2 linked regions of the Canis lupus familiaris genome follow. The protein of the gene in region 2 binds, or shares a complex with, the protein of the main gene of each other region. Links are inferred from orthologs where the notes say so. Each region holds a gene or a part of one and is shown on either strand. Other genes may lie near its edges.

Region 1 (3,744 bases), on a different chromosome or scaffold from region 2:
TCACCCTTGGCACTTGGGCCTTGGTTCCAAGATGGCCCAAGGGCCCAGGCTGGGTGAGGCAGGTGCATCTGCTTAACACTGGCCCTTTCTTCTAACCCTAGGTGTCCGGCATGATCCCAACATGAAGTATGAGCTGCAGCTGGCAAATCCTAAAGAGTTCTACCACGAGGTGCACAGACCTTCCCACTTCCTCAACTTCGCTCTCTTGCAAGAGGGTGAGGTCTACTCTGCGGACCGAGAAGACCTCTATGCCTAGTTGTTTCCTCACCTCCCCCTTCTTCACACTCCCCAAGACTGGAGCCTTTTACAAAACCCCAAAAAGAAGCTGGTGACATTCAGCAGCTTGGTTCCTTTTCTCCCTGTTTGTGCTTCTTGTAATTGATCTCTCGTGGCATGTAGTCCTGAGCAAAATGTAATAATAAATTTTGTATAAATAGGAGTTTTTGAGGTTGTTTTTTTCCTCCTGAGCTCAAATTCTGGGTGTAGGGATGGCAGGAGGCTGGCCTTGTTCACAGCAAGATGCTGGCCTTGGTCTTTTTTAAAAAAAAATTTATTTTTTATTTTTTTTTATTCATGAGCAATAGAGAGAGACACAGGCAGAGGGAGAGGCAGGCTCCATGCAGGAAGCCTGACATGGGACTCGATCCCAGGTCTTGAGGATCACACCCTGGGCTGCAGGCAGCCGTGTTAAACCCCTGTGCCACCGAGGCTGTGGCCTCGGTCTTAAAGTGGCATGAGGCCCCTCCCTACTCGGGGGCTGTGGATCAAGAAACTTGTAGATTCAAGGAATAGAGGTGGGGTTGGGTTTTAACACCCTTACTGCCTTGACCACGTCTGCCTACTTCCCTTAAAAATATTTGCAAACTATCACTCTTTTCAGCCTCCTTTGGAGCAGTTGCTGCCATTTTCTGAGTCTAGAAGCTTGTGAATTTTTCCCGACAGCTGTGGTGCCCAGCATAGCCCCTTAGGCTTTGTGTCACTGGTGGTTGGGAAAACAGGCACTTGGCTGGACAGATGGCTGTCCCTGGCAGAGGCCTGACAGCCCTCCTACCTCTCACCTCTTGCCTGTGGTGTTTGGCAGCCAAGTTGGGCCTCATGACTCCAGAGACAGGGGTGGAGCCTGGATTGCGCGCTGTGGGGAGGGATTGACAAAAGTGACCACTTAGAGCCGTGAACCTCAACCTCTTGGACGCCTGGCTGGAAGTCGGCAGCCTTGCTTCCTGTGACCTTGGGGCTCAAACAGGACAGAGCCCAGGGGGCCCAGTGCACAACCGCCTTCAAGCCTTTACCTTTTTTCTTCATTGCTCCTCCTCTGTCGCTTCTTCCCCGCCCCCCACTGCCCGAAACTGCTTCCTGGGCCGGAACTGTTTGGCTTTTTCCTGCCCCAATTAGGGCTGTGGGTGGGGGTAGGGAGGTTGGCGTGGCCTTTAACTTTCTGGGGACATGGAGCCCAGGAAGGCGGTACCTGGGGTGCACAGCTGCGGGCCTCGGGTGGCCGCGGGGTCAGGGACGGCGGCGGAGCTCGTGTACCATCTAGCGGGGGCCCTGGGCACGGAGCTGAAGGAGCTGGCGCGCCGCTTCGGGCCGGAGGCGGCGGCCGGGCTGGTGCCGCTGGTGGTGCGGGCGCTGGAGCTCCTGGAAAAGGCCGCCGTAGGGCCGGACCCAGACTCAGTGAGTCGCCGCCCTTTCCCCTGGCCACCCGCAGGGCTGGCGGGAGCCTCGCCCTCACAGCCTGGACTCCCCAGCTGCAGGTGTCAGCGCAGCAGGCCGAAGTGGAGCTGCGGCGGCTGCGGGAGGAGAACGAGCGCCTCCGCAGAGAGCTGCGCTCCGGCCCACAGGGTGAGTGCGGGCACCGCCAGGGGGCGGGGCGGGCGGCTCCGGGCCTCCTCCCCAGGCCGCTGCTAAGAACGCCCCTTCCTCAGAGGAGCGGGCTCTCCTGAGGCAGCTCAAGGAGGTGACCGACCGCCAGCGGGACGAGCTCCGGGCGCACAACCGAGATCTGCTCCAACGCAGCCAGGAGACCGAGGCGGTGAGGGCGGGGCGGGGCGGGGCGGGGCGATGGGCGTGAGCGGGGCTCTCCACCCGGCCCACCGACGCCCCGCCTACCTCCTCTTTGACTCCGCCCCCAGCTGCAGGAGCAGCTGCAGCGCCTCCTGCTGGTGAACGCGGAGCTGCGCCACAAGCTGGCAGCGGTGCAGACCCAGCTGCGCTCCGCGAGGGACCGCGAGGGAGAGCGGGAGCTACCGCACCAGGGGGCGGTGGAGCCGGCGCGGGACCGTGCCGGGGGGGCCGGGGACGCACAGAGGCGGAGGTCCGAGCGGGCAACCGCCGACGCTGGAGCTCCGGGGACCCCTGAGGACCAGGTGAGTGCCCATGGCAGTCCTCACAGGTCTGGCACTTGGGCACTCGGGCTGGGTTTGTCGTCCTGCCTAGCGGGTCCATCAGGAAGTTGGTAGGTGGGGGATCCCTGGGTGGCTCAGCGGTTTAGCGCCTGCCTTTGGCCCAGGGCGCGATCCTGGAGTCCCGGGATCGAGTCCCACGTCGGGCTCCCGGCATGGAGCCTGCTTCTCCCTCCTCCTGTGTCTCTATCATAATATCATAAATAAATAAATCTTAAAAAAAAAAAAAAAAGAAGTTGGTAGGTGGCACACGAGTGCGCGTCTCCAGCCGGTCCCTGCTCCCACGCTGGCCAGAGCACCGGGCTGTCGTCATCTGTCGCAGCTCCCTTACCTCCCCAAGTCTCCCGGCCAGTCGCTCCCTCTAGCATTCCTGTGATGGCCCGGGGAAAGGGGGGCGCCGGCAGAGGCACCCCTCTGACCCAGCCTGTCCCTCTGCAGGCGGCTGCCCTGCAGCAGCCAGGGCGCCCTTCCGAGGCAGGACAGTGCAGCTTCAGTCGAGAGGAGCTCGAGCAGATCCTTCAGGAGCGGAATGAGCTCAAAGCCAACGTGTTCCTGCTGAAGGAGGAGTTGGCCTACTTCCAGCGGTGAGGGCGGTAGGCAGGGGCTGGGAAGCTCAGGGGCTCCACTCACACTTGTCCTGGGCCTCACATCACCAGCTCCGTTCCTTAGTTCACTGATCTACCCATCATGATATATGGCAGGTGCTGTGCTGGACACTGGGAAGACATGAGTCACACAGCCCCTGCCTTCCTGGAACTTCTTCCAAATGGGGTAGGAGGTAGTAAAAAACACAGCAGCTGTGAAAGATTCCTAGGGGCATCACCTAAGCTAAGTCTGAGGGATGTCAGCAAGGCAGAACATTTCAGAAAAGGAGAATGTCAGGCACAGGTACTTGGGATGAAACCTACTGCTGGCATTCCTGCTGCTTACTCTGCCTCTTTTCCTCCTCGGGTAGGGAGCTACTCACAGATCACCGGGTCCCTGGGCTTCTCCTTGAAGCCATGAAGGTGGCTGTCAAGAAGCAGCGGAAGAAGATCAAGGCCAAGATGTTAGGGATCCCAGAGGAAGCAGAGAGCAGGTAAGTCCCTGCCTCCATTCCCACTGAGCCAACCCCTTCTCACTCTTTCCGCTGAGCCTAATGCTTCAGCCTGGTCATGCTCTAACCCATCTTAATCACCCCTTGGGCCTACCACCTTAGCTTCATAAATTCCTGAGCCTGTCACCTAGCCTAGTCCCTTCTTAAACCTGCTTACCTGGCCTGGTCACCCCTGCACCTGCTGTCCAGCCTGTCCTGCTGAGCCTACCACTCTGGCCTGGTCACTCCCTGAGCCTGCCACTCTGGCCT
Region 2 (3,744 bases):
TACAAAGTTGGTGGCTATAGATAGGACAGATTAAAAGTCAGAAAAACAGGGAAACTACATTAACAGCTACTATAAGAATCTAGGAGAGACCCAAAGATATTCTGACCTAAAATACTATGTGGCGATTTTTGTTTTTAAGATTTTATTTCTTTATTCATGAGACATGGGCGGGGGGGGGAGCACCCAGAGACACAGACAGAGAGAGAGGCAGGCTCCCCAAGGGGAGCCTGATTCGAGACTTGATCCCAGACCCCGGGATCATGCTCTGAGCCAAAGTCAGACGCTCAACTGCTGAGCCACCCAGGCGTCCCCCATGTGGGGATATTAAGAGAAAGGAATGAGTTAAACATTTTGGAGACAAAAGTTTGGGCCTGTATGTTATCAAATTCAGCAAAAACAAAAAACACAAACCAAACCAACAAAAAACCAGGAACTCCAATTAAATTTGAACTTTGGAAAACCAATGAAAAATTTCTAGTATGTCTCATGCAATGCCTGGGTCATACCTGATGTCCTGTATTTGTATCTGGCCATCCTACCTGCGACCAATTATCCATGAATATAGTAGTGGGAAATGAGGAATGGGGTGGGAAAATGCCTAGGCATGAACAAAAGAGTTCAGACTGAATGAACAAGGCTTGGGTGACAAAGTTGAGATGTGTGCTTACCTGCATTGTAACTAGTCTGTCATCCACCATCACCTCCTTTGTCAGAAAGTCTGCTCCTATTGTAGCTTTGTACTGATTACTGAATTTCTTGTTCACATACTGGTTCATGAGTGATGTCTTACCAACTCTGAAATTGGAGAAAAACCACAAGTATAGGTCAAGTTAGAAGGGGCAGAAAAATGATTCTGATATTTGCAGCTCTGAAGATACTTGCCAGCTTAAAGGATAACAAGCAACTGTAATCACAACAGAGGATAGTGCCAGCAAACTGCTCAGTGTTACTCATTCGAGGTTTTATTTTCTCCTGGAACAAAAGTACAGGGCTATAGATGTGGATCAGATGTTGAAAAGCTGCTCTTAAGTTTTGGTACAAGTAACTCAGATGGTAGAACTTAGTATTATTTTTTTCCTTCCAGAAAGATGTCAGCAAATACTCTCTTTCTAAAAGAAGCTACAGCAATAAGATCCTGCCACCATTCTAAAAATATCTCTGCTGTCCTGGGTGTCTCTCCATTTAGGGGCTGATATTCAGTCCAAGAAAGTAATAGCAGGAGAAAGTCACTGGCTATGAGCAGACATATATGCCAGTCAGCCACCTGCTACTTCAAAGATTAAAATCTGAAGTGAGGAAAGCATCAATATTCCCACCAAATCAGAATCTACCTCAGAGTAAGCTCCTCCAGGGAAGTTTTTCAGTAAGAAAACTCAGTAAGAGACAATGTGTGGATTTTTTTTGGTGATGAGATTAGTTAGGGCAGGCTGAAGATAACATAAAAGTCTTCTTCCAAGTCAACAGGATCACCTTCCTTTCCCTCTAAGGAACATATTCATCTTCATAGGCAGAGGACCTGGAAGTAAGTTATGGCTTAAGGCAGTGTTCTCCAATCCAGGTCACCTGGGTCTGAATTTTCAGGGGAGAGGTCAGGAGGTCTCTAATCAAATAAAGGCCCGGTGATTTTTCCCATGCAAGTTTGGGCCTAAAACAGTACCTTTCATTCCTGACAGCACAGTGGTCACCAGGAAGGAGGGAGGAGGGAGACAGAGAGATATATGTATTTAAGTACTGCCAATGAGGCCCAACACAATGGTCTGGAAAAATGCTTACTTTTGAAAAGCTCCTCAGGGCAATCAGAAAAGCCAGACAGGGTAGAAAAATCACTGCCTTCTTAAAGGGCAGGGAACTTTCGTGTAAGGAGGCACACCTGGATTTATCATCATCATCATCATCATCATCATCATCATTTAAAAAAAATACATAGCTTCTAGTTGGTCTAAGGTTTCCAGGTCACATCAGATGCTGAGTCTGAAAAGCCTCCCACAGAATCGTTAACAGCTACTGAAGAGTTAGTCACTTAATTAGTGGCAGATCTAGGATCAGAACCCAGTTTTCCAGTCGCAGGTTCTTTCAGATACACCCCAAATCAGACCCAGTAGTGGGAAGATACTGCACAGCTGTATCCAGACTCCAAACCCACAACTGGTAGGCATGAGGTCAGTGGCAACAAATCTACACATGAACAGAACTCCCTTGTCTAATCAGCTCAGAAAAAAGAGATTCCAGTGAAACCGTTCTTGAGTTTAAATGGCTACTCCTTCCCCTAAATCATGCCAAAGACCAGGGAACCAAGGATTACAGACTAAGAGATCATTAAAATTTCTGCTGTGCTTAAAAAAAAAAAATCTGCTGTGCTGGAAATGGCAAGAGACCTAGAACCCTACTGCCACTACTATTAGAGAAGTGGCAAATGTGAGCAGGGAGGGCATGGCTTCAAAGTCACATTTAATCCAAACCAATCTGTTACTTCAAACTTACCCAGAATCTCCCAGGATGATAACCTTCAGCAACACTTTCTTCCTAGAGGTCATCCTTCAAACTAAAAGGAGAAAGGAGAAAGTACTTGTGAGCGTGACAGAAATACCCAGGCAAACCTCATCCCTCTGTACAAGCATCAACACAGCCCCAGGAGCACTAAGCCTTCCCATTTAGCTATTTCCCTGCCACCCAGGGGGACCAGACAGAAAGCAGAATCAATCTTAGAACTTTGGACACAAGCTGGGCAAAATCATGAGAGGCAGGGTCATCCTGCCCCTTGGAGCAGTCTAAAAGGATGGATTCTCCCTCTCAGATGTTGCTGGATCACTGTGGATTAATGTTCAATTTAACAACTAGGCCCTGCTTCATTCAAGTCTCTGCTCACATAGCACTTCCTCAGAGACATGATCACTTTATCTAAAGTGGCACACCCTCTCCCCATCTGCTCTCTAACCCTTTACATTGCCTTACTTTTTTTCTTCAGAGCACTTACCACTACTTGACATCCAAATCTATTAATTTGTTTTCTCCCTTCTCCAACAACTTCCACCAAGACAGTTTTATTCCCCACTGCATCTCCAGTGCCAAGTAGAGAACAATTATCAAATATTGGGGTTGGGGGATCCCTGGGGGCACAGCGGTTTGGCGCCTGCCTTTGGCCCAGGGCACGATCCTGGAGACCCGGGATCGAATCCCACATCGGGCTCCCGGTGCATGGAGCCTGCTTCTCCCTCTGCCTGTGTCTCTGCCTCTCTCTCTCTCTCTATCATAAAAAAAAAAAAAAAAAAAAAAATTAAAAAAAAATTGGGGTTGGTGTGAGAACAATACTTGTTGACCTGCAGCTCTTGAGATCACCCTTTTCTAGAAAACCTTTCAGGGCAGCCCAGGTGGCTCAGTGGTTTAGGGCTGCCTTCAGCCCGGGGCCTGATCCTGGAGATGGGGGATCGAGTCCCACATTGGGCTCTCTGCATGGAGCTTGCTTCTCCCTCTGCCTGTGTTTCTGCCTCGCTCTCTGTGTGTGCCTCTCATGAATAAATAAAAAAAAATCAAAAAAAAAAGAAAGAAAGAAAGAAAAGAAAAGAAAAGAAAAGAAAAGAAAAGAAAAGAAAAGAAAAGAAAAGAAAGAACCTTTCAGGCAGCCTGGCTAGACAATATGTAAGATGCCTCATTTTTGCTTATCTCTATTCCAGAAATCTGCCCCTATTTACTTACTAAGGCAGGGTTCCTGTCTTAATTATCCCTTGGTCTCCTGAACCTGATTCT

Evidence for each region. The genes of interacting proteins can lie anywhere in the genome.
Region 1: the proteins of RAB7A (region 2) and RILP are in contact, whole or in part, in a crystal structure (PDB 1YHN), measured with the Homo sapiens proteins. The link is inferred for Canis lupus familiaris from reciprocal best matches to the Homo sapiens genes RAB7A and RILP. Residues at the interface, in NP_004628.4 of Homo sapiens: Ser3, Lys6, Leu8, Ile41, Gly42, Ala43, Asp44, Phe45, Leu46, Thr47, Thr58, Trp62, Ser72, Leu73, Val75, Leu182, Tyr183, Asn184, Glu185; in NP_113618.2 of Homo sapiens: Phe248, Glu249, Leu252, Gln253, Arg255, Asn256, Lys259, Ala260, Phe263, Leu264, Glu267, Glu268, Tyr271, Arg274, Glu275.

The regions. Positions count from the first base shown.
Region 1 is NC_049230.1:45,740,749-45,744,492, reverse strand, and holds the start of RILP (rab-interacting lysosomal protein), read left to right. Parts: upstream 1-1,172; 5' UTR 1,173-1,443; coding exon 1,444-1,671; intron 1,672-1,745; coding exon 1,746-1,839; intron 1,840-1,922; coding exon 1,923-2,029; intron 2,030-2,129; coding exon 2,130-2,363; intron 2,364-2,837; coding exon 2,838-2,983; intron 2,984-3,354; coding exon 3,355-3,477; intron 3,478-3,744. Other genes in the region: PRPF8 (pre-mRNA-processing-splicing factor 8), read left to right, coding at 102-256. UniProt on the Homo sapiens protein: Rab effector playing a role in late endocytic transport to degradative compartments. Involved in the regulation of lysosomal morphology and distribution.
Region 2 is NC_049241.1:2,782,112-2,785,855, reverse strand, and holds the start of RAB7A (ras-related protein Rab-7a), read right to left. Parts: upstream 2,544-3,744; 5' UTR 2,535-2,543; coding exon 2,482-2,534; intron 796-2,481; coding exon 669-795; intron 1-668.